4 linked regions of the Anolis sagrei genome follow. The protein of the gene in region 4 binds, or shares a complex with, the protein of the main gene of each other region. Links are inferred from orthologs where the notes say so. Each region holds a gene or a part of one and is shown on either strand. Other genes may lie near its edges. The genes, in order: MED20, CCNC, MED7 and MED16.

What was found.
Region 1: MED16 (region 4) and MED20 share a complex: the UniProt entries of both Homo sapiens proteins name them as parts of the mediator complex. The link is inferred for Anolis sagrei from reciprocal best matches to the Homo sapiens genes MED16 and MED20.
Region 2: MED16 (region 4) and CCNC share a complex: the UniProt entries of both Homo sapiens proteins name them as parts of the mediator complex. The link is inferred for Anolis sagrei from reciprocal best matches to the Homo sapiens genes MED16 and CCNC.
Region 3: MED16 (region 4) and MED7 share a complex: the UniProt entries of both Homo sapiens proteins name them as parts of the mediator complex. The link is inferred for Anolis sagrei from reciprocal best matches to the Homo sapiens genes MED16 and MED7.

What each region holds. Positions count from the first base shown.
Region 1 is NC_090024.1:191,063,445-191,071,166, reverse strand, and holds the start of MED20 (mediator of RNA polymerase II transcription subunit 20), read left to right. Parts: upstream 1-4,696; 5' UTR 4,697-4,861; coding exon 4,862-4,875; intron 4,876-7,473; coding exon 7,474-7,628; intron 7,629-7,722. Other genes in the region: bystin, read right to left, coding at 1,700-2,042. UniProt on the Homo sapiens protein: Component of the Mediator complex, a coactivator involved in the regulated transcription of nearly all RNA polymerase II-dependent genes.
Region 2 is NC_090021.1:99,275,927-99,282,849, reverse strand, and holds the start of CCNC (cyclin-C), read right to left. Parts: upstream 3,016-6,923; 5' UTR 2,865-3,015; coding exon 2,833-2,864; intron 450-2,832; coding exon 343-449; intron 1-342. UniProt on the Homo sapiens protein: Component of the Mediator complex, a coactivator involved in regulated gene transcription of nearly all RNA polymerase II-dependent genes.
Region 3 is NC_090022.1:80,580,616-80,587,583, reverse strand, and holds the start of MED7 (mediator of RNA polymerase II transcription subunit 7), read right to left. Parts: upstream 3,024-6,968; 5' UTR 2,826-3,023; intron 1-2,825. UniProt on the Homo sapiens protein: Component of the Mediator complex, a coactivator involved in the regulated transcription of nearly all RNA polymerase II-dependent genes.
Region 4 is NC_090034.1:57,074,398-57,081,326, reverse strand, and holds the start of MED16 (mediator of RNA polymerase II transcription subunit 16), read right to left. Parts: upstream 3,013-6,929; 5' UTR 2,924-3,012; intron 2,416-2,923; 5' UTR 2,260-2,415; coding exon 2,245-2,259; intron 1-2,244. UniProt on the Homo sapiens protein: Component of the Mediator complex, a coactivator involved in the regulated transcription of nearly all RNA polymerase II-dependent genes.

The sequences.
Region 1 (7,722 bases), on a different chromosome or scaffold from region 4:
ATACCAGAGTGGGATCCTAAAGTATAGAATAGGTTCTTATTGTAATCAATGGGATAGTGGTCAAAAGGGTTTTTTTCCAGCTGCAAAGAAGAACTAGTTATGGACATGCATTGAAAATGCATTGTTATCCTTAGCTTCACTTACTTTGACTTTGACCACGCATGGGTAAACTTGGGCCCTTCAGGTGTTTTGGACTTCAACTCTCACAATTCCTAACAGCCTCAGGCCCCTTCCTTTTCCCCCTCGGCTGCTTAAGACACATGACCTTGGAGGCGTACGGTCTTCGGCTTAGAAATGGTGATGAGCATCATCTCCCAGAGTTGGGTACGACTAGACAATGTCAGGGGAAACCTTTACCTGTATAGTATTAGATCTAATTTTAATAGCAACTCCCATGCTACCAGAAACTACAGAAATTGCCATTTATCTATCCCATGACTTAACAGAGAGTCTACTGCAGGGGTCCTCAAACTTTTTAAACAGAGGGCCAGGTCAGAGTCCCTCAAACTATTAGAGGGCCGGATTATAATTTGAAAAAAAAAAAACACGAATGAATTCCTATACACTTAAAAACAATACAATAATTATAATGAAGAACAATTTTAGCAAATATAAACTTATTACTATTTCAATGGTAAGTGTGTGCCTGCTTTTAGCTGATGAGATAGGATTGTTGTTGTTGTTGTTGTGTGCTTTCAAGTCATTTCAGACTTAGGTAGACCCTGAGCAAGGGCCGGGTAAATTACCTTGGAGGGCCGCATCCGGCCCCCGGGCCTTAGTTTGAGGATCCCTGGTCTACTGTATATGGTTGAAACATCTTATGGCAATGCTATGAAAATACAGTTAATATCACCCTTAGTTCATTTACTTGGACAAAATATAGTAGACTCTGAGTTAACCACAACTCAAGCAGCCAGAACTCTCGGGTAACCGGGGGGGGGGGGGGGGATCAAAGAAATAATGTTGTTGAAGGCTTTCATGGCCAAAATCACCGGGGCCCCTTCCACATAGCTGAATAAAATCCCACATTATCTGGGATATATGGCAGCGTGGACTCAGATAAACCAGTTCAAAATAGATATTGTGGGATTTTCTTCCTTGATATTCTGGGTTATATGGCTGTGTGGAAGGGCCCTGGGTTGCTGTGAGTTTCGGGCTGTAATGGCCATGTTCCAGAAGCATTCTCTCCTCACATTTCGCCCACATCTATGGCAGGCATCCTGAGAGATTGTGACATTTGTTGGGAACTAGGCAAGTGGAGTTTACAGGCTTTGAAGCTGCAAGCCCATTCAATGTTAATCAAGGTGACCGATTACAACATTCACACTTGCCTCCATCAGACAAGAGTTATTTCTCCCACTCTGGACATTCCACAGATATATAAACCTCACTTGTCTAGCTTCTGGAACATGGCCAGACAGCCCGGAAAACTCACAACAATCCAGTTAAACAAAACTTTTGCTGTGTTTTGTAACATAACCAATTGGGAAATGACGTTTACAACCCAGAAACAAACATTGTGTTACACAGTGTGATAGAAAGGCAGAGTTAGGCCTATTTTTATTACTTGGCTGTACTGAAGGAGTTGGGGATGATGGCAGTTGTAGTCCATCGCATCTGGAGGATGGCGGGGTGTTTGGTTTGTTTAATCCCAGGATGGGCTTAATAATGTGATGTCACGTGCTTTTTGCCCACTCACCCAGGACGGTGGTCTTCCTCTTGGGCTCCTCTCTGCCGGAAAGGCCATGCTCGGCCTGCAGCTCCTCCTGCTGGATCCGCGCCTGCTCCAGGATCTTCCGGGAGAGCCGCTCGTCCACGTACTTCTCCTCCTCCTCCTCCTCCTCTTCTCCTCCCGCTCCCCCGCCATGCAGGCCGGCTTTGCCCCTCCGCTTCACCCGCCGACTGGGCTTCACCGCCTCGCCCTGCAGGATCTGCTCGGCCAGAGGCACGCTCACCCCGGCCGCCGAGGAGGCCCCTCGCACCCGCTTCTCTTTCGGCATGATCGCCCAGACACGTGGGGGAGAGGAAAGGCTAAGACGCATGCGCCGGAAAGAGAAGGCCAGAAAAGGGGCGGGGCTTGCGACCGCAGGGGCGGAATAGATATAGAGCAGAGCTTTCCCAACTTTTCACGCTTTTGAGACCAATCAGGCGTGGGCAAACTTGGGCCTTCCGGGTGTTTTGGACTTCAACTCACACAATTCCTAGCAGCCGGTAGGGCTCAAGTTTGCCCACATCTCTAATATTTTGCATATACATTTGGAAAATTGTATATGCAAAATATCAGACAGATGGAAAGCTATTTAACCTCAGCAGACTGAAAGCCAAAACCAAGGTGACAACATCTATTACAGAAGTCCAATATGCTGATGATAACATCGTCTGTGCACATTCAGAATTTCTACATGCCACTCTAAACACCTTCGCAGAAGTATATGAAAAGCTTGGCCTGTCATTGAACATCGAGAAAGCCAAAGTGCTCTTCCAGCAGTCACCAGCCAATCCCTCTCCAATGCCAGAAATATAGCTTAATGGTGTAACATTAGAAAATGTTGATAATTTCCACTACCTTGGCAGCCACCTCCCCACAAAAGTCCACATTGACACTTAAATACAACACCGCCTGAGCTCTGTGAGTGCATTTTTACGAATGAAGCACAGAGTGTTTGAGGACTGGGACATCTTGAAAGCATGGCTATTTCAGTGTGCCTTCCCTGAATAAAGGAAACAATGCCCTAATTTGATCAATTTTCTGCAATATGTCCTCTGAAGCACTACCCGTTGGATTTATTTCCCTACATTACTCTCTAACCGCCCCACCCCCCGTTTAGATACCCTACTTCTGTTCACACCCAGTATTTTAAAAATTTAATCTACTACATCCGGCCTTTCCCACAGTCTTTTAAATCTCTTGTGTGTTACTGCTTATATGTTATTTATGATATTGTACTGTGTTTTATTTGCTTGCTTGCCTTGTTTTCTACTGATGTATTTTGTTGGGCTTGGCCTCATGTAAGCCGCCCGAGTCACCTTGGGGAGATGGTGGCAGGGTATAAATAAAGTTATTATTATTATTATTATTATTATTATAAACTAGCTGTCCCCTGCCACGTGTTGCTGTAGCCCAGTCTGTGCATATGTGTTTTGTGTGTGTGTATATATGTGTTTATGTATGTGTATATATTTGTGTATATAAGTGTGTGTATATATGTGTATTTATATGTGTGCATGCATATTGTGTATATGTGTGTGCTTGTCTATATGCATATTTGTGTGTGTGTGTGTGTGTGTATATATATATATATATTATTTATTTTATTAATCAATTTTATATACTTCCACTCGCCGAAGTCTCGGAGCGGTTTACAATATACACAAGAAAAACTTTGATCAACAAAATTCAAATGCCACCCTAAATAAATAAGTTTTACAAGCTCTACGAAAAGCAAGTAAATCTCGGAGAGCTCCTGTTCCTGCTGGCAAAGCATTCCATAGATAAGGAGCCACCACCGTGAAAGTTCTACGCCTAGTAGACATCAGGTGAATGGTCCTAAAATTGGGAACTTCAAGGAGATTCTGATCGTCTGAACGAAATATTATGTGGATATGTATATGTGTGTGCATGTGTATATGTATATCTGTGTGTATCTGTGTGTATGTGTATGTATGTTTGTGTATATGTGTATATCTGTGTGTGTTTGTGCATATATATATGTGTGTGTGTATGAATGTGTGCATGTGTATATGTATATGAGTGTATGTGTATCTGGACACATTGACAAGCTGGAATGTGTCCAGAGGAGGGCGACTGGAGAACAAGCCCTATGAGGAGCGGCTTAATGAGCTGGGCATGTTTAGCCTGAAGAAGAGAAGGCTGAGAGGAGACATGATAGCCATGTATAAGTATGTGAGAGGAAGTCATAGGGAGGAGGGAGCAAGCTTGTTTTCTGCTTCCATGGAGACTAGGACGCAGAACAATGGCTTCAAACTACAAGAAAGGCGATTCCATCTGAACATGAGGAAGAACTTCCTGACTGTGAGAGCCATTCAGCAGTGGAACTCTCTGCCCCGGAGTGTGGTGGAGGCTCCTTCTTTGGAAGCTTTTAAACAGAGGCTGGATGGCCATCTGTCAGGGGTGATTTGAATGCAATATTCCTGCTTCTTGGCAGGGGGTTAGACTGGATGGCCCATGAGGTCTCTTCCAACTCTATGATTCTGTGTATATGTAAATATGGTATTTTTGGGGGGGTTTTAAGTCTGTTCGGCTGGGGTTTTGTGTGTGTTTGTGTGTGTGTTTACAGGTGATGGTCACACGTTGGACTGTTAGGTGTATTGTGTCTAAATTTGGTGTCAATTCGTCCAGTGGTTTTTGAGTTATGTTAATCCCACAAACGAACATTACATTTTTATTTATATAGATGAAATACAATTTTAAACCTAAATATACGTATATATAAAGTAGATCTTAGGAAGTTGTTTCTTGATTTAAAACGTCAATATGCTGGCTGATATCCGAACAGAGGATGGGCCGGAGGTGTCAATACTTTCCTCCCTACAGGAAAGCCTGGCTCCACTTTCTTTTGCTGGATGGGCAATGCAGGACCACCTGAGTTGGAGGTGGGCCTGCATTGCCTGCTCCGGCCGCCAGGGGGCCGCTTCCGAGAGGAGGCGGCGAGGACGACACTCGCCCGCATTCCCCGCGATGACGTCACTTCCTTTCGGCGTTCTTCCCTCCGAGGAGGCGAGGCTGTGTGAGGCTCCGCGAAGACCGCCGGGCAGAGGGCGCTGAGTGAGGCTGAGAAGTCTTGGGCCACCTTTCCGCCCGGGTTCACGCCTCCCCCGCGGAGGAGACAGCCGAGGAAACATGGGTGTCACCTGGTACGGCTTCCCAAGGCTGCTGTAGCCTTAGCCAAACATTTTACCTTGAGACCGTTGCATGTTTTTGCTTCTCAGTGTCGGCCAAGATGGAGGCCTGCTGCGATTGTGCTTGGATGTACATTCGTTTCAAGAATGAGGGGTCGGGTATGGAGTGTAACGTGTGAACGAGCGAATGACGAGTGTCAGGGGCAGGAGAGGGACCTGGTGACAGGTAGGGTTACTACAGGCATGGGCAAACTTCGCCCCTCCAGGTGTTTTGGACTACAACGCTCACAATTCCTAACAGCCGGTAGGCTGTTAGGAATTGTGGGTGTTGTAGTCCAAAACACCTGGAGGGCCGAAGTTTACCCATGCCTGAGTTACTAAATCTCCTCAATGTAATGCCAGGGGAGTATCTGCCCCTCATCCGAATTGCTTGGCGCCAGACAAGTTTGCGATTTCAGGTATTTTTGTGTGTGGGATTTTTTTTTTTTTGCATCGCCTAATTGCTAAGCCTAATCAAACCAGTCATTTATGTTTCACGTACACATAACATGTATATGAAACATAAATGTTGTGTTTAGGCTTGGCTCCCATCTTCAAGGTGTTAGTAAATAAGATATTGACACCACCTGCATGTAACACAGGTATGGAGAAACCCACGCCCGGGAGCCGAATGCGGCCTCTTGGACTCTTTTTGCAGGCCCTCCTCTCGCTCACCATCCTATCCTTCCTTCCTTCCCTCTTTCCTTCTGCCTTTCCCCCTTCCCTCCTACCCTTCCAGTCTTCTGTCTTTCTTCCCTCTTTCTCTCCCTCTTTCTCCTTCCTTCCTTCCCTTTTGTCACAGGGAGGAGGGAGCAAGCTTGTTTTCTGCTTCCCTGGAGACTAGGACGCGGAACAATGGCTTCAAACTACAAGAGAGGAGATTCCATCTGAACATTAGGAAGAACTTCCTGACTGTGAGAGCCGTTCAGCAGTGGAACTCTCTGCTCCGGAGTGTGGTGGAAGCTCCTTCTTTGGAAGCTTTTAAACAGAGGCTGGATGGCCATCTGTCAGGGGTGATTTGAATGCAATATTCCTGCTTCTTGGCAGGGGGTTTGACTGGATGGCCCATGAGGTCTCTTCCAACTATGATTCTATGATTCCTTCCCTCTTTCCTCCCTCCCCGCATTCCCTCCACCCTTCCTTCCATCCATCCTTCTCTTCTTCCCTTTTTACCTTCCTTCCTTTTCTTTTTCCTTCCTTCTTTCCTCCTGGGGCATGTTTACCTGGGGGAAGAGAAGGTAGAGAAGGAACATGAGAACCAATTTTCAAGATCTAAAAGGGTGTCCCATTGAAGAGGAGGGGGAAAACCAACTTTCTGCTGCTCTAGAGACCAGAACACAAGGAAGCAATGGGTTCAAATGGCAGGGGAAAAGATTAGGAAGAATTCCTGAAAGTAAGAGCTGTTGGAGAGTGGCCTAGGCTGCCTGGGAGTGTGGTAGAGTCTCCTCTGGAGACTTTTCCGCAGAGGCTGTCTGTCGGGAATGCTTTAATTGTGCCTTCTTGCTTGGCAGGGGGTTGGACTGGATGGCCCTTGAGGGTCCTTTCCAGCTCTAGGATTCTATATCAGGAGTATGCAGTATGGGGTCTAATAGATACACTTTTTCCTCTCGTATCCACCTCATCCTGACCAAGGCTAACCTTTTGGGATCCAAATGTTTCCCATCTTTCCTTTGCTTTCTGCCTCCGAAAGAGAAGAGGAAGGGGAGGAAAGGGCAGGGAGGGGACTTGGAGAGAATCCCCCTGCTCCTGGCCTGCCCACCCTGCTCCAGCCTGCCATGAGGCCCCCAAGTTAGAAAGTTTGCCCATGCCTGATGTAACATATTGAAGATGGGAGCCAAGCCTAAACACAGCATATATGTTTCATTTACACATTATACACGTAGCCTGAAGGCACCTTTATGCACAGTATTTTAAATAATTTGGTACATTGAACCATCAGAAAGCAAAGGTGTCAATATCTCAGACACATGTGGGAAATTTGGGATTTCTGGATAAAAGATACTCAACCTGTAGCATTAGATTGCCGTTAATGCAGTTTTAATACTCCCTTGGGTGGAAAGGGATCATGAGTGGAAAAAGTTAAACCCTGATCTAGAGCACCATTTGTTGGAAAGCTAGGAAATAAATGTAAGAGATAGATAAATTAGCTTTGGCTTTCATTTTTCTTTATTCACCAATGTGAAGTGAAAGGGCAAAGAGGCTTGGAGGAGATGGAATGTTTTAAAAGGCATTTTCTCTCTGTTTTGTATCAGACATACACAATGCAGCATAATATAGAAATCTGGATATGGGTCTAAACATCTGATTACTTGTCTTTCTCTGTTCTCCTCCCTTTGTTATCTTCCACCTCATTGAAGTCTTTGTAAGGTTCTTATGGCAGGAACCTGACTTTTTGTTCCATTTCCTCCTCTTTCTCTTATTATAAGGCATTGAGTATGTTAGTAGGTAACATGTAGTAGTATGTTACTATATAAGATAAACTATTTTATTTGGTAGCACATGAAGTGGAAAGTAGCAGTGATTCTTACCGTGTTTTGAAACTTATTTTCATCAATGGCTTTTCTCCCTTGTTAGTGTATCTCAGATGCCCATAGCAGAAGGGAAAAGTGTCCAGCAAACAGTTGAAATCTTAACACGAAAACTAGAACTACTTGGAGCAGAAAAACAAGGAACATTCTGTGTAGACTGTGAAACATACCACACTGCAGCTTCCACAATGGGCAATCAAGGTAAAAATTAATTTTTCTACCATAATTGGTGCATTCACTTCCTTCAAGCAAATGTAATGGCATTCAATTTGTAAAGAGAAATTTAAGGGCCTCA
Region 2 (6,923 bases), on a different chromosome or scaffold from region 4:
GAAACAGTGTGGAGTGTAATTTCTGCTCCCTCTACCTTTCATAATATTCTCTTGCAATCTACTTTTAAAAACTGGGGGACCTCCAGTACAAATGGAGGGGCTAAAGGGGGTGATGATAGTTTCATCACCTAAGTAGGAAAATAAAATAATCTATGTTGAACAGTGCTAGATTTAAGCTGAATGCTTAAGCTTCTGCTGCAAGCATGTCCAAGTTTCTTTTCGCTAGGTACATAACAGATAAATCTTCTTGCTTTATAATTTTGCATGTTTTGTGAAGTTAGCACAAAGCAATACAACTGCAACACACATCAGTGGGGCAAACTAGAACTGAAATCATGTTACCATTCGTAAAGAATATCTGTAGCTTCCAATATTCTTCTTCTGTCAAAAATTTTAAGTCCTTTTGGCGTTCCTTCAACAGATCTTGTTTATCCAAAATCCATTGCAAGCTGCAAAGGAAGAAAAAATAGAGAGTACATCTTTTAAACCAATTTTGAGTATTGCATGTATTAAACATGCTTGTCAACTTTCATTCTACAGCCTGATGCCAAAATAACAAACTTCTCTGCATATTCAATTAATCATATTGAAAACTACTGTTAATTTGTGTTGTCGAAGGCTTTCATGGCCAGAATTGCTAGGCCATTTCCAAGCTGTGTGGCCAAGTTTTCCAGGCTGTATGGGCATTCTCTCCTGACATTTTCTGAGGATGCCTGCCATATATGTGGGTTAAATGTCTGGAGAGAATGCTTATGGAACATGGCCATTCAGCCTGGAAAACTCACAGCAACCTACTGTAATTTGTTTCCTTTTGGGTTTGTTTTCTGAACTATTAGCTATAAGAAAAAGTAACTAACTGGGGGGAAAGCTGGCCTGTGATAAACTATGATTTTTCTGCTTTGGTAGCTATTTCAAAGGCAAATTTGAAATTGGATCCAGACTATTTAAAGGTCCATTATTTTTAACTGTCCTGTCACCATCATAGATACTATCAGTGAAAACATGAGAAAGAGTCTGCTGCTCTTGGGCTCCTTCCCACAGATCTGCTTGGCCTCGTTCTCTAGCTTCTTTGTACCTACAGGCACAGCCCTTTTATTTAGTCCCGCGTTCCATATTTAAAGAAAAGCTTTCCAAACATTTCATGTATGTTACATTCATTTTAGGCATGTATCATTTTGCCTCACAGTAATTCAGTTTCACTAGCAAACTGGAGGTTAAACCAACTCCTTATAAAAAAATATATAGATTTATACAAATTGTAATAACAAAATGTTTGGAAGCACAACATATCTCATGAAAACTTTGGATTTATATATATTTAAAAAAACGCTTTATTGCTTATTTCATGTAGACTTTTGTGTGGCGCGCCTACACACTACTTGTTACTTTTGTGTGGCGCGCCTACACACTGCAGCCACACACTAACACAATAGTTCTCAACCTGTGGGTCCCCGGGTGTTTTGGCCCACAACTCCCAGAAATCCCAGCCAGTTTGCCAACTGTTAGGATTTCTGGGAATTGAAGGCCCAAACATCTGGAGACCCACAGGTTGAACACCACCGATAGAGGACTTGGGGCGGATTCCAGCATACAGAAAAACAAAGACAAACATTCAATTCCTTGAAAGGGAATTGCATCAAATATATCATATAATATTATCCCGCTGAGCAATGTTTGGATTTTAGTGCTGTAATGTAAATATGGATATTTTGTGTAGCTTTTCCCTGAACATTGTTTTATATATGTGAAAAATATGTATGCCAATATAATATTATTTTTAAAAATTGGTAAGGATAAGGGATACTAAAACCTGCACTATACCTTCCGCCCCAAAAGGCAGCACCTCACAGCTAACATAAAACTCAATTTTAAACTATGGATTTAATTTGATATTAATATTGCTGTTCTACAAAAGGGTCTATCTAGATTATTGATTTTAATGCTGCTTGTCTCTACTCCATCTGACATGGCTCAATGCCATGGAATCCTGGGAGCTGTAATCTTACAAGGTCTTTAGCCTTCTCTGTCCTTTGGGGGTTTTTTTGTGTATATCAGGAGCGACTTGAGAAACTGCAAGTCACTTCTGGTGTGAGAGAATTGGCCGTCTGCAAGGACATTGCCCAGGGATGCCCGGATTTGTTACCATCCTACGGAAGGCTTTTCTAATGTTCCCTCATAAGAAGCTGGAGCGGACAGACAGGAGCTCAACCCGCTCCCTGGATTCTGCTGGCACAATGGTTTAACCCACTACGCCATTGAGGGGAGAGGAGGGCGTTTTTTGTCCTTTGGTGAGGCACCAGCACTTTCCTGTAGGAGACCTTGCAAAACTATAATTCCCTGAATATCCTGAATATGTGGCAGTTAAGAATGGGATCAAACTGCATTAATTCTACAGCACAGATGATGTCCATGTTGTGCCAATTCTAGAGAGAAATAAAAATATCATAATCATCTCTATTCTCTATAGCATGCATAGGCCAACTTGGGCCCTCCCTCCAAGTGTTTTGGACTTCAACTCCCACCATTCCTAACAGCTTAAGCGGCTGAGGGGGAAAAGGAAGGGGCCTGAGGCTGTTAGGAATGGTGGGAGTTGAAGTCCAAAACACTTGGAGGGAGGGCCCAAGTTGGCCCATGCCTGCTCTATAGCAATTAAACACTCTCCTTGCCAAGTTTGCCAACACCCCTCAGTCCTCCTGTGGCCCGGGATTCCAGGAGCCCCCTTCAAAACAGCAGGGCCAGGAAGTGTGTGGCGTGGCATCCTGAAAAGCCTTCCCCTCCCCGCTCCCCCACAGCCAGGGCCCCCCACCAGAGAGGGGCGAGGGGTTCACTCACTAATGCGAGCTCTGCCAGAAGTTCCCTGCCATGAAGAGGGCGCGGGGCTCGCTGCCGGGTCTCTTCCCTGCCGACCCACCCCGGGCTCTCTCTTCCAGGAACAGGAAGGACTCGGCAGCGCCCACCCGGCCACCAAGCTCATCAGGGCCGCGGCAGCAGCAGACTCGGCCCCGGGGCTGCGCGCGCCTACTCTGTGTCCCGGCCTGCTTCCGCTGCCGCGCGCATCCGTTCCGGGGAAAAAAGGTTCCGCCCCTCTCAATAGGGACAAGCCGTATTCCCGCTTCTCCTGGACTTATTAGTTGAGAGCAAAGGCATTCGACACAGTGAATCGCACCGCCCTCTGGACCATCCTCCAAAAAATCGGGTGCCCTAATAAATTTGTGAACATCCTGAGCTCCTCCATGATGACAACAGACTTGGACAGCAGTGGGTCCCAAAGTGACCCATTTAAGGTAAAATCAGGCGTCAACATTTTTATTATTGCCCCAACTGTATTCTCCATCTTCATCACTATGATACTTCACCTTGTTGATGGGAAGCTTCCCACCAGAATGGAAATCATCTATCGGACAGATGGCAAGCTGTTTAACCTCAGCAGACTGAAAGCCAAAACCAAAGTTACAACATCTGTTATAGAACAACAATATGCTGATGACAATGTCGTCTGTGCACATTCAGAAGAAGATCTACAAGCCACTCTAAACACCTTCGCAGAAGCATACGAGAAGCTCAGCCTGTCATTGAACATTGAGAAAACCAAAATGCTGTTCCAGCAGTCACCACCCAACCCCTCTCCAATGCCAGAGATACAGCTTAATGGTGTAACATTAGAAAATATTGACCATTTCCACTACTTTGGCAGCCACCTCTCCACTAAAGTCAGCATCAACACCGAAATACAACACCGCCTGAGCTCTGCGAGTGCAGCATGTTTCTGAATGAAGCAGAGAGTGTTTGAGGACTGGAACATCCGTAGGGATACCAAGGTGCTTGTTTATAAAGCTATTGTCCTCCCAACCCTGCTCTATGCCTGTGAAATGTGGACTGTCTACAGATGTCACATGCAACTCCTGGAACGATTCCATCAGCGCTGCCTCCGGAAAATCCTGCAAATCTCTTGAGAAGAGAAACAGACAAACGTCAGTGTGCTGGAAGAAGCAAAGACCACCAGCATTGAAGCAATGGTCCTCCGCCATCAACTCCGCTGGACCGGCCACATTGTCCGGATGCCTGACCACCGTCTCCCAAAGCAGTTACTCTACTCCAAACTCAAGAACAGAAAACGGAATGTTGGTGGACAGGAAAAGAGATTTAACGATGGGCTCAAAGCCAACCTTAGAAACTCTGGCATAGACACTGAGAACTGGGAAGCCCTGGCCCTTGAGTGCTCCAGCTGGAGGTCAGCTGTGACCAGCAGTGCTGCAGAATTTGAAGAGGCATGAATGGAGGGTGAAAGAGAGAAGCGTGCCAAGAGGAAGGCGCATCAAGCCAACCCCGACAGAGATCGCCTTCCACCTGGAAACCACTGCCCTCAATGCGGAAGAAGATGCAGATCAAGAATAGGGCTCCACAGCCACCTACGGATCCACAAGAATACTGACCCTGGAAGACTATCCTACTCATCCAACGAGGGATTGCCTAAGTGCAGATTAGTTGAGGGTGAACCCACACTGTAAAATGAATGCCTTTTATTGCCACGGCTTAATGCTAGGGAGTCCTGGCAGTTGTAGTTTTATAAGGTCTCTCGCCTACTCTGCCAAACAGGGCTGGTGCCTCACTAAACTACAGCTCCCAGGATCCCATAGTATCTTTATTTATCGTGTCTGAAGCAAATTGAAAATAAAGTTATAATGTTAAAGTTATAATGTATTTAAAATGTATTTATGTATCTATATAAATAAAAATGTTATGTTCGTTTGTGGGATTAACATAACTCAAAAACTACTGGACAAATTGACACCAGATTTGGACACAATACACCTATCAGGCCAATTAGTGACCTTGGAATGATCTCCTTTGAATGATCTCCTTGGATCTCTGCACAGCTTCATCCAAAGGCATGTTGAGTTTCTGATTCTTCACTCATAAAACCACTGAAAAACACAGCAGAAGAGACTTAAAAAGCCAAAAAACAAAAACCATTACAACGCATGCGCAAAACCACACATATACACAAATACATATACACATATATACACACACAAAACACATATACACAGACGGCCACAGCAACGCTTGGCAGGGGACGGCTAGTTTATAATGTTTTTAAAAGCTTCAAACAAAGTTAATACCTTGGCTCTATGATACTGAAGGGGACAAGGGACCTGATTTCATTTTATTAATAAATAATAGCAATAATAATAAAATAATAACTTTACTTTTGTATCCCGCCACCATCTCGGGGCGGCTTACATGGGGACCAAACCCAGACAAGCAGAAATTTAAAATATAACACAGTAAAATTCAACTACAAAACATCATAAAAACATAACCATCCACAATCAAAACATCCAATAACCTAACCTAGAGGCCATATATTGAGCTGAGGGGCGAGGCAGGAGCTTGTGCAAAACAGTTGCAAGGGCAGGGCTGATAGGAAAGTGCAGGTATGAAGTATGAAGAATAGTTCGATTAAATAAATAGTCTTAGCCTTAGAAATCAATTGAAGATTGTCTTAGTGTTAGAAAAATTTAGCCATGTGAAACACACACAAAGGGAAAAGGCTCACATAAACAGAACATTGAAAACATGCACCAAATGGAACCCTAAGGAGAGAAGCAGGGCAATAAACAGGCCTACATTTCGTTTGACCAGAAGCTTTCCACTTGGAGTGCCTCTGGTGTCACTATAAGAAGCCCCTCCATTGTGCATGTGGCAGGACTCAGACTGCATTGTAGTAAGTGGTCCCTTACTACACACTTGCCCTTCTCCACATTTGCATATCGTGGACTCCAATTTGTAGCCCCATTTCTTAAGGTTAGCTCTGTACCTCTTGGTGCCAGAGTGCAGTCTGTTCAGTGCTTTCCAAGTCACCCAGTCTTCTGTGTGCCCAGGAAGGGAGTTTCTCATTCGGTATCAGCCACTGATTGATGTTTCGGGTTTTAGCCTGCCACTTTTGGACTCTAGCTTGCTGAAGTGTTCCTGCGAGTATCTCTGTAGATCTTAAGAAGCTATTTCTTGATTTAAGGCATTTGCTTGCTGACTGATATCCGAACAAAGGATGGGCTGGATATGTCGACGCCTTGGTCCTTTCTTTACTGGCTGCTACTTACCAATGGATAACAGGTGGTGCAATACCGGCTAAACAGTATAATTTCTGCAGTGGTGTGGGGCATAGACATCCTGAAATATTCTACATTGGGCATGCACACTCAGCAGCAGAATAGCAAAGTGCAAGGGCAGATGTCTTCACTGTATCTGGTTGTGATCCCCAGATTGTGGCAGTCAGCTTTTGTATGATATTATTTCTAGCACCCACTTTTTGCTTGATATTCAAGCAGTCCTTCTTATAGGTCTGAGCACGGTCCAAGGTAACTCCCAGGTATTTGGGTGTGCTGCAAGGCTCCAGTGGGATTCCTTCCCAGGTAATCCTCAGAATTTGAGATGCTAGTCTGTTCTTAAGGTGAAAAACACATGTCTGCATTTTAGATGGATTAGGGATCAGTTGTTTTTCCCTGCAATAGGCAGTAAGAGCCCATAAAGCTTCCGAGAGCTGCTGTTCAACCATTTCAAAGCTCCCATAGCATTAAGGCATGGCAAACTGTGGTGCCAAACTGAATTAATTCAACAGTGTAGATATACCCTGAGAGAAAGAAGCTGATGCAATCATTACTGTTGTTATTATTATTGTTACCTATTATCTCCACATAGTGGGGGACAGCAGCATATCAAAATACAACATGAACTATCAGTTTAAAATACATAATGTAAGTTTTTGCAGGCCCCTTCTACACTGATCATTTCATACAGTTTCAAACTGTTTTTTAAAAGTTATTTTACTGATGATTACGTAGAAAATCCTGGAACCAATTTGAGGCATGGATGATGATTATACAGAAATCACAGAGTACTGATGCACACATTAAGGGCTT
Region 3 (6,968 bases), on a different chromosome or scaffold from region 4:
ACAGGGAAGATGCTCGTTTCTATCTGTATTATAAATACATGTTATACTAAAATTAAAATGAAACTTATAATACAAATTAAGAGAAATGTATTTTTAAAGGTTAGAACACTAGAATACAATTAAGCAGAACACAAAAGAACGAAATAAAAAGTAATTTAAAAATCACCACAACAAAAGTATTTTGAATAACTCATTATAAATTGGTGAAACTTCTCTGTGGGAGAATTCTCCAATTTGGTTTGCATTCAATAGTATTCAAGGGCTCTCCCCAAAATAATGCATGCTGGGACTTTAGCTCCAGTGAGGGAAGGAGAAACAGTTTAAATACAATCACATCAACATGTATTTTAAGGCCTTTTTTGAAGGGTTTATCATACTGCAAATGCACCAGATCCCCTCCAATCCTTGAAGCTAAGTGTCAGCTCAGGTCAATACTTGGGTGGGAGACCACCAACAAATACCAGGCGCAGTAGCCTGTACTTCAGAGGAAGGAATTGGCAGAGTATTCCTGACAGAAGAAAATTCTATGAAATTCATAAGTCAACAGGTGACCCAAAGGCACAGACAGACACAAAGGCATTTTAATATTTTAATGCTTTAAGTTTATAAATTGCTTAATTGTTTTTGTACCCTTATATATATTGTTAGCTGCCTTGAGACCCATGAAAGATGGATATAAATGAATAAAAAGGATAACTTATAAAAATACGCCAAAAACATTATACATGACAACACTGAGACCACCACTAAGTGAGCAGAGCCCCTCCATCTGCAGTTTTTGAAAGGATGGCAAGGCAACACATTTCCAACGTGAGCTGCTTTGAGTCTCCTTGTGGAGAGAAAAAGCATGGTATAAATATAAATGCAATAATAATAATAATAATAATAATGATAATGATAATATCTCCTCAGCTGTTGCAAGAAAATTGCACAGACGGACTACAAAGACACAACTCTGTGGCTCAGATGATTCACTGGAACTTATGTCACAAGTACCACCTGCCAGCAGCAAAGAATTGGTGGGATCATAAACCCGCAAAGGTCGTGGAAAATGAACCTGCAAAAATACTGTGGGACTTTCGAATCCAGACTGACAAAGTTTTGGAACACAATACACCAGACATCATGATTGTGGGAAAGAAAAAAGTCTGGATTATTGACGTCGCCATACCGGGTGACAGTCGCATTGAGGAAAAACTCAGCCGCTATCAAGACCTCAAAACCAAACTGCAAAGGCTCTGGCATAAACCAGTACAGGTGGTCCCAGTAGTCATTGGAGCACTGGGTGCTGTGCCAAAAGATCTCAGCCGAAATTTGGAAACAATAAACATTGACAAAATCACGATCTGTCAATTGCAATAGGCCACCTTACTTGGATCTGTGCGCATCATTCGAAAATACATCACACAGTCCTAGACGCTTGGGAAGCGTTCGACTTGTGATTTTGTGATACGAAATCCAGCATATAGATCTCGTTTGCTGTGACATACTGTGCTTTTGTGTCAATAATAATAATAATAATAATAATAAAGGGAGCTTTAGCCTGAGAAACACTGTTTTTGTATGCCTTCAAGTACTTTCTAACTTTTGGCGACCCTAATGCAACCCCATCACCGGGCTGTTTTTGTTTTTTGCAAGATTGGTTCAAGGCCTCCCTCCCCTCCTCCTTTGCCATCCTCCAGGCTCCAGACAGTGACAGTTGTCCCAGGGCCCTTCCAGACAGGCCCATTATCCCAGGTTTTCTGCTTTAAATTTATTATTTATTTAGACCATTTCTACCCCGCCTTTCTCACCCCCGAGGGGGGACTCAGGGCGGCTAACACAGGCAACTATTCAATGCCAACAGTATCAAAACAACAATATAAAACAGCAATATGAAATCCATTACATAACAATTAAGTAGTGATATTAGTTAAAATTGCATAACCACATAGGACATATCACAGAATCACAGGTCATAAAGCCATTTCCAATTTTCAAACAATCCTATTGTCTGAGTTCAGTGCCTAAAGTGCTGTTGTGCCCACTAGCCAAACGCCTGGTTCCAAAACCACGTATTTAGTTTTTTCCCTAAAAGTAAGGAGGGAGGGCGCCGATCTAATCTTGCTGGGGAGCGAATTCCATAAGCGGGGGGTCACCACTGAGAAGGCCCTGTCCCTTGTTCCCACCAGACATGTTTGAGACGCTGGTGGGACCGAGAGCAGGGCCTCCCCAGAAGATCTTAAATTATGAGGTGGAACGTAGAGAGAGATACGTTTGGATAAGTAAGCTGGGCTGGAGCCGTATAGGGTTTTATAGGCCAAGACCAGCACTTTGAATTGTGCTCGGAGGTGGACCGGCAGCCAGTGGAGCTGACGCAGCAGGGGGGTGGTATGCTCCCTGTATTGGATTATATAAGTCCGCACTGCCAGATAATCTGGGATAAACAGAATACCTGGGATCAGATCCTGAGATATTGAGCCTGTCTAGAAGGGCCCTATCTTCAATGGCTCAGTGCTATGGGAGATGTGGATTCATAAGGTCTTTAGCCTCCTCTGGTGCCTCAACAAACTGCAACACCCTGGATTCGATAGCACTGAACTAAGGCAGTTAAAGTGGTGTCAGACTGCATGAAATGTATGTGGCAGACCAGGCCTGGGCAAACTTGGGCCCTCCAGGGTTTTGGACTCCAACTCCCACCATTCCTAACAGCCTCATTCCTAACAGCCTCAGAAGGGGCCTGAGGCTGTTAGGAATGGTGGGAGCTGGAGTCCAAAACACCCTGGAGGGCCCAAGTTTGCCCAGGCTTGTGTTAGACGTATCCCAAACGGATGAGCCTTACAGACCCTTGACGGGCAGCGACACCCACCCGCGGAGGAGCTCTCCGCTCGCCCCGGGCTCCCAATTCGGACGAGGCCGGCTTCCCTCTCCTCTCTTCGGCTTCCCCACGGAACAAGAGCACCAAACACCCGCGCTCCCACCGGAAGCCCCGCTTCCTACGCCTGCGCTCTCCTTCCTCCCTTTCCCTCGCCAACTGGTGACGTACATCCGGCAAACAGCCCCTCCCCCATCTAATTTTCCTATTGGCTGACGTGGGATGGCGTCAGCGAGAGCCGCGCGGAGGCAAAGATGGAGGGAAGCGAGCGAGCATTTGCCCTGAAGCAGGGGAAGAAAAGGATCTTCTCTCTGATTGGCTGCTCCTGACGTCAATCAGGAGCTCTGGAGTATGATTCCCTCCCCTTCCCCCCACGTGTAAATACATACACATATGGTATGGTATGGCAAACTTGAGCCCTCCAGGTGTTTTGGACTTCAACTCCCACAATTCCTAACGGCCTCAAGCAGACAAGAATTCAGGCAGAAAACAGCCAGGCTTTGAAGCTAATCAAGCTAATCAAGCTGGCCAATTGCCTCAAACAGACAAGAGTTCTTTCTCCCACCCTGGACATTATTCCACAGATATATAAACCTCACCTACCTAGTTTCCAACTAACCTCAGAACCTCTGAGGATGTCTGGCATAGATGTGGGCGAAACATCAGGAGTGAATGCTTCTGGAACATGGCCAGACAGGCTGGAAAACTCACAGCAACCCGACAATAAATCGCTGGGTTGTTGTAGGTTTTTTGGGGCTATATGGCCATGGTCTAAAGGCATTCTCTCCTGACGTTTCGCCTGCATCTATGGCAAGCATCCTCAGAGGTAGTGAGGTCTATTGGAACTAGGAAAAAGGGGTTTATATATCTGTGGAATGACCAGGGTGGGACAAAGAACTTTTGTCTGTTGGAGCTAGGTGTGAATGTTTCAACTGACCACCTTGATTAGCATTTGATGGCCTGGCAGTGCCTGGGGCAATATTTTGTTGAGAGGTGATTAGATGTGCCTGATTGTTTCCCCTCTGTTGTTTTGCTGTTGTAATTTTAGAGTTTTTTAATACTGGCAGCCAGATTTTGTTCATTTTCATGGTTTCCTCCTTTCTGTTGAAATTGTCCACATGCTTGTGGATTTCAATGGCTTCTCTGTGTAGTCTGACATGGTGGTTGTGAGAGTGGTCCAGCATTTCTGTGTTCTCAAATAATATGCTGTGTCCAGGCTGGTTCATCAGGTGCTCTGCTATGGCTGATTTCTCTGGTTGGAGTAGTCTGCAGTGCCTTTCATGTTCTTGGATTCTTGTTTGGGCGCTGCGTTTGGTGGTCCCTATGTAGACTTGTCCACAGCTGCATGGTATACTGTAGACTCCTGCAGAGGTGAGAGGATCCCTCTTGTCCTTTGCTGAACGTAGCATTTGTTGGATTTTCTTGGTGGGTTTGTAGATTGTTTGTATGTTGTGTTTCCTCATCAGCTTCCCTATGCGGTCAGTGGTTCCCTTGATGTATGGCAGGAACACTTTTCCTCTGGGTGGATCTTCATCTTGACTCTCGTGGCTTGTTCTTGGTCTTGCAGCTCTTCTGGTGTCTGAGGTGGAGTATCCATTGGCCTGTAGAGCCCAGTTGAGGTGGTTCAGTTCATCTTGGTGGAGGTGGGGTTCGCAGATTCTTTTTGCGTGGTCTGCCAAGGCTTTAATGGTGCTTTCTTTATAGTCCACTTTTCTCCCACGAAGGAAGCTACCAAAGCAGCTTCCAACATACTAAATACAGTACAAAACAACAGCAATCAAAGCACACATATATAAAGCAACCCATAAACATAAGATATGCATTTTAAAACAATATACATTAGTATGAAAGCTTGCCAGATCATAATGCACCTCTCTCCTTTATATTTTATGCAATATTCGTTTTCTTTATATCACCCCATTTCTATATAGAAAATCAGAAGATATTTTCTGTTGTTTCTAACACAGCATGAAGACTAAATTGCATAGACAATCTATAGTAGTGTACTAGTACTAGTTAGTTAGATCCTGAACAAGGAAATTTATAATGCTACATATTATTTATACTTTGAAAGGAAGGCCTTGTTACTGCAAAGTACAGTAATATTTTTTCCTGTTATGCCTCTCTTATGGCAGCAGAGAGCAGCAGTGAGCTTATATTGGGTTGTGAGTTTTCCCTGCTTTGTCAGTGATCTGACTCTTATTATTATTATTTATTTACTTACTTTACTTATATACCGCTGTATCTCAAGCCCGAAGGCGACTCACAGCGGTTCACAAACAGTAAAAACAGTAGAAACAGCAGTGGTTCCATACAACATATAACAATTGACTTAACACATTATCCATAAATTAACAATAAGCAATTACAATGCACAATTATTACAAAAAACAACCGTACCCAATCTTCTCATCATCCAAGCGTAGTCCAGGTTCGTCGTCCATTGTTCCATTCCTATGTTCCATTACCAGATTGCACTAAATTACTCAAACGCCTGCACAAACATCCAGGTCTTCACCTTTTTGCGGAATACCATTAGAGATGGTGCTAGTCTAATGTCCGTAGGAAGGGCGTTCCACAGCTGAGGAGCCACCACCGAGAAGGCCCTATCTCTCGTCCCCGCCAGCCGAGCTTGAGAAGCAGGCGGGATTGAGAGCAGGGTCTCCCCGGAAGATCTCAAAGTCCTGGTGGGTTCATAGGCAGAGATGCGGTCAGATAGGTAGCTTGGGCCGGAACCGTTTAGGGCTTTAAAGGCCAACGCCAGCACTTTGAATTCAGCCCGGTAGCAGATCGGTAGCCAGTGGAGTTGGCGCAACAGGGGGGTTGTATGCTCCCTGCGCTCCGCTCCTGTTAAAATCATGGCTGCCGAGCGTTGGACTAGTTGGAGCTTCCGAGCTGTCTTCAAAGGCAACCCCACGTAGAGAGCGTTGCAGTAGTCTACACGGGATGTAACCAGAGCGTGGACTACCGTGGCCAAGTCAGACTTCCCAAGGTACGGGCGCAGCTGGCGCACAAGCTTTAGCTGTGCAAATGCTCCCCTGGTCACCGCCGAAACCTGGGGTTCCAGGCTCAGCGATGAGTCCAGGATCACACCCAAGCTGCAAACCTGCGTCTTCAGGGGGAGTGCGGCCCCATCCAACACAGGCTGTAACCCTATGCCCTGTTCGGCCTTGCGACTGACCAGGAGTACCTCTGTCTTGTCTGGATTCAATTTCAATTTGTTCGCCCTCATCCAGACCGTCACAGCGGCCAAGCACCGGTTCAGGACCTGGACAGCCTCCTTAGTAGCAGGTGGAAAGGAGTGACAGAGTTGGACATCATCCGCGTACAGATGACACCGTACCCCGAAACTCCGGATGATCTCCCCCAGCGGCTTCATGTAGATGTTAAACAACATGGGAGACAATATTGAGCCCTGAGGAACCCCACAAGACAATGGTTGTGGGGTTGAACAGGTGTCCCCCAACAACACCTTCTGAGATCGACCCTCCAGGAATGACCGGAGCCACTGCAAAACAGTTCCTCCAAGACCCATCCCTGCGAGGTGTCCCAGAAGGATACCGTGGTCGACTCTTGGCCCCCTTCCACACTGAACTGGATTATATGGCAGTGTGGACTCAGATATTCCACTTTAAATAAGATATTGTGAATTATCTGCCTTGATATTCTGGGTTGTATGGCTGTGTGGAAGGGCCCTTGGTTTTGTGAAAGGAAATTGGTGACAAACACCGGAAATCTCTGTATTGTTGTAAGTTTTTGAGGCAGTCTAGCCATGTTCTAGAAGCATTCTCTCCTGACGTTTCACCTGCAACTATGGCAGGCATCCTCAGAGGTTGTGAGGAAGCCTGCCATAGTTGCAGGTGAAACGTCAGGAGAGAATGCTTCTAGAACATGGCTATACAGCCCGAAAAACTTACAACAACCAGGGATTCCAGCCATGAAAGCCTTCGACAATACACTGAAAATCCCCTTTCAGATGAAAAAGTGCAAAACCTCTATGCATGAAACAATTGACAGGCCCCTTCCACACATTGGACTGGATTATCTGACAGCACAGACTCAGATAATCCAGTTCAAAGCAGATATTGTGGAGTATCTGCCTTGATGTTCTGGA
Region 4 (6,929 bases):
GAGAAGCACAGAGTTCAGGGTAACCAATTTATTAAGGCAGCGTTTCTCAACCTGGGGGTCGGGACCCCTGGGTGGGTCACGAGGGAGTGTCAGAGGGGTCGCCAAAGACCATCAGAAAACACAGGGGTTTTTTTGTTAGTCATGGGGGTTCTGTGTAGGAATTTGGCCCAAAATCTCTCTGCCTGTCCTTCTCTTCCTTTTTGGTGTTGGTGAACTACAACTCCCAGAATTCAAAAACAGCCCTGCCAACCCCACCAGTATTCAGTGTTGGCCATGTAGATCATGTGCCAAGTTTGGCCCAATTCTATCATTGGTGGGGGTCAGAATGCTCTTTGATTGTAGGTGAACTGTAAATCCCAGTAACAACTCTCAAATGTCAAGGTCTATTTTCCCCAAAATCTATCTGTGTTCATATTTGGGCATATGGAATATTTGTGGCAAGTTTGGTCCAGATCCATCATTGTTTGAGTCCACAGTGCTCTACCTAGATGTAGGTGAACTACAACTCCAAAACTCAAGGTCTGTGCCCACCAAACCCTTCCAGCATTTTCTGGCGGTTATGGGAGTTCTGTGTGCCAATTTTGATGCAATTCCTTCGTTGGTGTTCTGAATGCTCTTTGGTTGTAGGTGAACTTTAAATCCCAGTAACTACAACTCTCAAATGTCACGGTCTATTTCCCCCAAACTCCATCTGTGTTCATATTTGGGCATATGGAATATTTGTGGCAAGTTTGGTCCAGATCCATCATTGTTTGAGTCCACAGTGCTCTCTGGATGTAGGTGAACTACAACTCCAAAACTCAAGGTCTGTGCCCACCAAACCCTTCCAGCGTTTTCTGGCGGTTATGGGAGTTCTGTGTGCCAATTTTGATGCAATTCCTTCGTTGATGTTCTGAATGCTCTTTGGTTGTAGGTACACTTTAAATCCCAGTAACTACAACTCTCAAATGTCAAGGTCTATTTCCCCCAAACTCCATCTGTGTTCATATTTGGACATATGAATATCTGTGGCAAGTTTGGTCCACATCCATCATTGTTTGAGTCCACAGTGCTCTACCTAGATGTAGGTGAACTACAACTCCAAAACCCAAGGTCTGTGCCCACCACACCCTTCCAACGTTTTCTGGCGGTTATGGGAGTTCTGTGTGCCAATTTTGATTCAATTCCTTCGTTGGTGTTCTGAATGCTCTTTGGTTGTAGGTGAACTATAAATCCCAGTAACTACAACTCTCAAATGTCAAGGTCTATTTCCCCCAAACTCCTTCTGTGTTCATATTTGGGCATATGGGATATTTGTGGCAAGTTTGGTCCAGATCCATCATTGTTTGAGTCCACAGTGCTCTACCTAGATGTAGGTGAACTACAACTCCAAAACTCAAGGTCTGTGCCCACCAAACCCTTCCAGCGTTTTCTGGCGGTTATGGGAGTTCTGTGTGCCAATTTTGATTCAATTCCTTCGTTGGTGTTCTGAATGCTCTTTGGTTGTAGGTGAACTATAAATCCCGGCAACTACAGCTCCCAAATAACAAAATCAATCCCCCCCAACACCACCAGTAGTAGTCAAATGTGGGCATATTTCATATTTGTGCCAAATGTGATTCAGTGAATGAAGATACATCCTGCATCTCAGATATTTACATTATGATTCATAACCGTAGCAAAATTACAGTTGTGAAGGAGCAACTAAACTAATGTTATGGTTGGGGGTCAACACAAGATGAGGAACTGCATTATGGGGTCACTTCATTGGGAGCCCCCAGTGGCGCAGTGGGTTAAAGCACTGAGCTGCTGAGCTTGTTGATCGAAAGGTCGCAGGTTCGATTCCGGGGAGCGGCGTGAGCTTCCGCTGTCAGCCCTAGCTTCTGCCAACCTAACAGTTCGAAAACATGCAAATGTGAGTAGATCAATAGGTACCGCTCCGGCGGGAAGGTAAGGGCGCTCCATGCAGTCATGCCGGGCACATGACCTTGGAGGTGTCTACGGACAACGCTGGCTCTTCGGCTTAGAAATGGAGATGAGCACCACACCCCAGAGTCAGACATGACTGGACTTAGTGTCAGGGGACTACCTTTACCTTTACCTCATTGGGAAGGTTGAGAAACGCTGTATTAAGTGATTATAGTCAGTCTGTACCTAGTTTCCTGATTGTCTGAACATACGCAGAGCCAAACAAGTACACTTTAAGTGCCTGCAGCCTTTGGAACTCTCTGCTGCAGGCACAAAAGGAACAAATAATAATTTTACCCAGGGAGGTTTCATGCAACATCAGCGTGCTGGAAGAAGCAAAGACCACCAGCATTGAACCGATGGTCCTCCGCCACCAACTCCGCTGGACCGGCCACGTTGTCCGGATGCCCGACCACCGTCTCCCAAAGCAGTTGCTTTACTCCGAACTCAAGATCGGAAAACGGAATGCTGGTGGGCAGGAAAAGAGATTTAAAGATGGGTTCAAAGCCAGCCTTAAAAACTCTGGCATAGAAACTGAGAACTGGGAAGCCCTGGCCTTTGAGCACTCCAGCTGGAGGTCAGCTGTGACCAGCAGTGCTGCAGATTTCGAATGGAAAGGGAGAACATGCAGATCAAGAATAGGGCTCCACAGTCACCTACGGACTACACTTGGAAGACAATCCTATTCGGATCTCCTAAGAAACTTCTATCTTATCTATTTTAGGTTCATCAACTCTGATGCAATTCTGATTTGCAGCTATTGCAAGCCTTTGGCTGAATTGCATCCATTGCTCCAAGCAATGCAAGAAATCAAAAGCCAAAGAAATTAACAAAAGAAATCAGATATTTTTTTAAAATTACATTCACTCCAATTAAGCTGCTCTCCACGCTTTTTAAAACCTTAGATTAGGCGGGTGTGGCTTTAAATCCCCCCCTTTCGATTAGAAATGAACTCTTCCACCCCACCCCTACTCACCTGGTTCTTTTAGAAGCGTCCAACCACACTGCGCCTGCGCAAACTCTTCTGTTTCACGCGCGCCTCAGAATATAGTTGTCTATAAAACTGCCTGATGGCCCCCAACGGAAGTATACACTCCTTCTACGGAAGTGTTTTTTTTCTTCTTTCCCGATCGCTCTTCAAAGTATCTAATTGGAGTGAAGAATTGAAATCCTTCCGTTTGTCTTCAAACGTTGTCATGTCATAGTAGAATACAATGTTTTGTTTTTTTTCTTCAGGCAATACAATAGACAAATCCTTAAGCGAGAAGCCCCAAGACTCTTGGGCCAAGAGGGAGGGTATTATTTGCATATGCGTTTTCCCATCAGCACTGGAAAGAAGGGAGAAATTAAAACGGGATTTTTTCCATTATAATATTGAAATATGAAAGATAAATGGAAGATATAAGATTAAATATGTTACAAGATTTGCAATCCGGTTATCGATGAATAACTCGGGTGTAAATTATAGTTACCATAATGTTAAAATATGCTAATAGTCATGCTTTAAATACAATGTGGAGAGAGCTAGCATTTGTGCTCGCTTCGGCAGCACATATACTAAAATTGGAACGATACAGAGAAGATTAGCATGGCCCCTGCGCAAGGATGACACGCAAATTCGTGAAGCGTTCCATATTTTCTTGCCAAAATAGATGCTTCTTTTGCTTACTTTCCATCCTCTATCACAGTGTTTCTCAACCTGTGGGGGTCACGAAGGGGTGTCAGAGGGGTCGCCAAACACCATCAGAAAACATATATTTTCTGTTGATCATGGGTTCTGTGTGGGAAGTTTGGTCCAATTCTATCATTGGTGGGGTTCAGAATCTTATTTCATTGTAGGTGAACTATAAATCCCAGCAACTACAACTCCCAAATGTCAAGGTCTATTATTCTCAAACTCTTCCAGTGTTCTCATTTCAGCATATAGAGTATTCGCGCCAAGTTTGGTCCAGATCCATCACTGTTTGAGTCCACAGTGCTCTCTGGATGTGGGTGAACTACAACTCCAAAAGTTCAAGGTCAATGTCCACCAGATCCTCCCAGTATTTTCTCTTGGCCATGGGAGTTCTGTGTGCCAAGTTTGGTTCAATTTCATCATTGGTGATATTCAGAATGTTCTTTGATTGTAGGTGAACTATAAATCCCAGCAACTACAACTCCCAAATGACAAACTCAATCCACCCACAACCCCACCAGTATTCAAATTTGGGCATATTGGGTATTCGAAAATACAGTACATCCTGCATATCAGATATTTCCATTACGATTCATGACAGTAGCAAAATTACAGTTATGAAGTAGCAATGAAAATGTTATGGTTGGGGGTCACCACAACGTGAGGAACTATACTAAGGGGTCGCAGCATTAGGAAGGTTGAGAACCACTGCTTATCGATTCCTTTGCCTTTGTTTTTCATAGGCATTTTTTTGGATCTTAGGCATTATAGAATCAAAGAGTTGGAAGAGACCTCATGGGCCATCCAGTCCAACCCCCTGCCAAGAAGCAGGAATATTGCACCCCTGACAGATGACATTATTAATTATTATATATTAATAATGTCCTGGAGAATCATATAATAACAACAACAACAACAACAACAATGTCCTGGAGAATCAGCTAATCATAATATGAATATAATAATATATTATATATTATTATTATTATTATTATTATTATTATTATTAATATAATAATAATAATACCCTGGAGAATCATATGATGATGATGATGATAATGATGTCCTGGAGAATCAGCTAATAATAATAATAATAATTATTATTATTAGAAACCTGGTGGGATGACTCCTATCGCTGGAATGTAGACATCGAGGGCTATAACCTCTTTCACAGAAACCGAACAAAGGGGAGAGGAGGCGGAGTAGCCTTATATGTCAAAAACTCTTATGCTGCAGAAGAGATGCAAGACAGCAATCCGGGAAACCAGCTTGAAAGCATCTGGATAAGAATCAAGGGAACTGGGACTCAAAAAGATCTCGTTGTAGGCATCTACTACAGACCTCCAAGCCAGGAGGAAAAACTTGAAGTCTTCTGCCAACTGTTGACCAAACAGGCACAGAGAAGAGATGTAGAAGTCATGGGTGATTTCAACTATCCCGATATTTGCTGGAAAACAAACTCAGCCAAGAGTACAAGGTCCAACAAAGGTCTCTTCCAACTCTTTGATTCTATGATTCTATGAATATAATAATAATAATGCCCTGGAGAATAATAATAATAATACGATGATGATGACGACGATAATGATGTCATAGAATCAAAGAGTTGGAAGAGACCTCATGGGCCATCCAGTCCAACCCCCTGCCAAGAAGCAGGAATATTGCATTCAAAGCACCCCTGACAGATGGCCATCCAGCCTCTGTTTAAAAGCTTCCAAAGAAGGAGCCTCCACCACACTCCTAGGCAGAGAGTTCCACTACTGAACGGCTCTCACATTCAGGAAGTTCTTCCTCATGTTCAGATGGAATCTCCTTTCTTGTAGTTTGAAGCCATTGTTCCGTGTCCTAGTCTCCAAGGAAGCAGAAAACAAGCTTGCTCCCTCCTCCCTGTGGCTTCCTCACATATTTATACATGGCTATCATATCTCCCCTCAGCCTTCTCTTCTTCAGGCTAAACATGTAAAGGATCACGGGTTTAGGGTGTGGGGTCCCTTTTCGAAGAAATCCACAGAGTCCAATACGTTCATGTAAGACACCGTTTATTCAACCTGATCCGCATGAGGTGAACAGACAGCAACTCTGCAAGTGATTTCACAGACTGTCGCGCCCTCCTTGGCTTTTTGCAAACCTTTATACTCAGGTAATACAAGGGGTTTTTTGGTCATGGAAAGTACTCTCTTTCCAGCCCCCCTCCCTTGACCTTTTGAGGGAAAGTACCTTCTTGCACCTGCAGACTTTTGGATCTTTTCTTTATAGAGCTGCCAACCTGGGGTTTGGGACCACTTTGCGAGGAGGTGTCAGAAGGGTTGCCAAAGACCACCAGAAAACACAGCATTTTCTGTAGGTGAACTGTAAATCCCAGTAACTACAAGTCCCAAATGTCAAGGTCTATTTCTCCCAAACTCCATCTGTGTTTATATTTGGGCATATTGAGTATTCATGCTAAGTTTGGTACAGATGCATCATTGTTTGAGTCCACAGTGCTCACTAGATGTAGGTGAACTACAACTCCAAAACTCAAGGTCAATGCCCACCAAATCCTCCTAGTTTTTTCTGTTGGTCAGGGGAGTTCTGTGTGCCAAGTTTGGTTCAATTCCATCGTTGGTGGAGTCCAGAATGCTCTTTAATTATAGGTGAACTATAAATCCCAGAAACTACAACTCCCAAATGACAAAATCATAATTTTTTGAGTGATGGTCACTCCTTGTGTTGTGAGATGTTTTGTTGCCAGATTTGGTGTGATTTCGTTCATTGGTTCTTTTGTTTTTAGGGTACTCGTTATGCACAGAGCATTTATATATATATAGATTATGATTAGCTGATTCTCCAGGACATTGTTGTTGTTGTTGTTGTTGTTGTTGTTGTTGTTGTTGTTATCTGATTCTCCAGGACATTATTAATATATAATTAATAATGTCATCTGTCAGGGGTGCTTTGAATGCAATATTCCTGCTTCTTGGCAGGGGGTTGGACTGGATGGCCCATGAGGTCTCTTCCAACTCTATGATTCTATATAATGCCTTTCTTTTCCCAATTTCCCTACTTAGCCTTCCAATCGGGTTTTGCAGCTTGGCAGCTCTATAAAGAAAAGATCCAAATCATTGCCTATGAAAAACAAAGGCAAGGGAATCGATAGATGGAAAGTAAGCAAAAGAAGGATCTATTTTGGCAAGAAAATATGGAACGCTTCACGAATTTGCGTGTCATCCTTGCGCAGGGGCCATGCTAATCTTCTCTGTATCGTTCCAATTTTAGTATATGTGCTGCCGAAGCGAGCACAAATCCTAGCTCTCTCAACATCCTATTT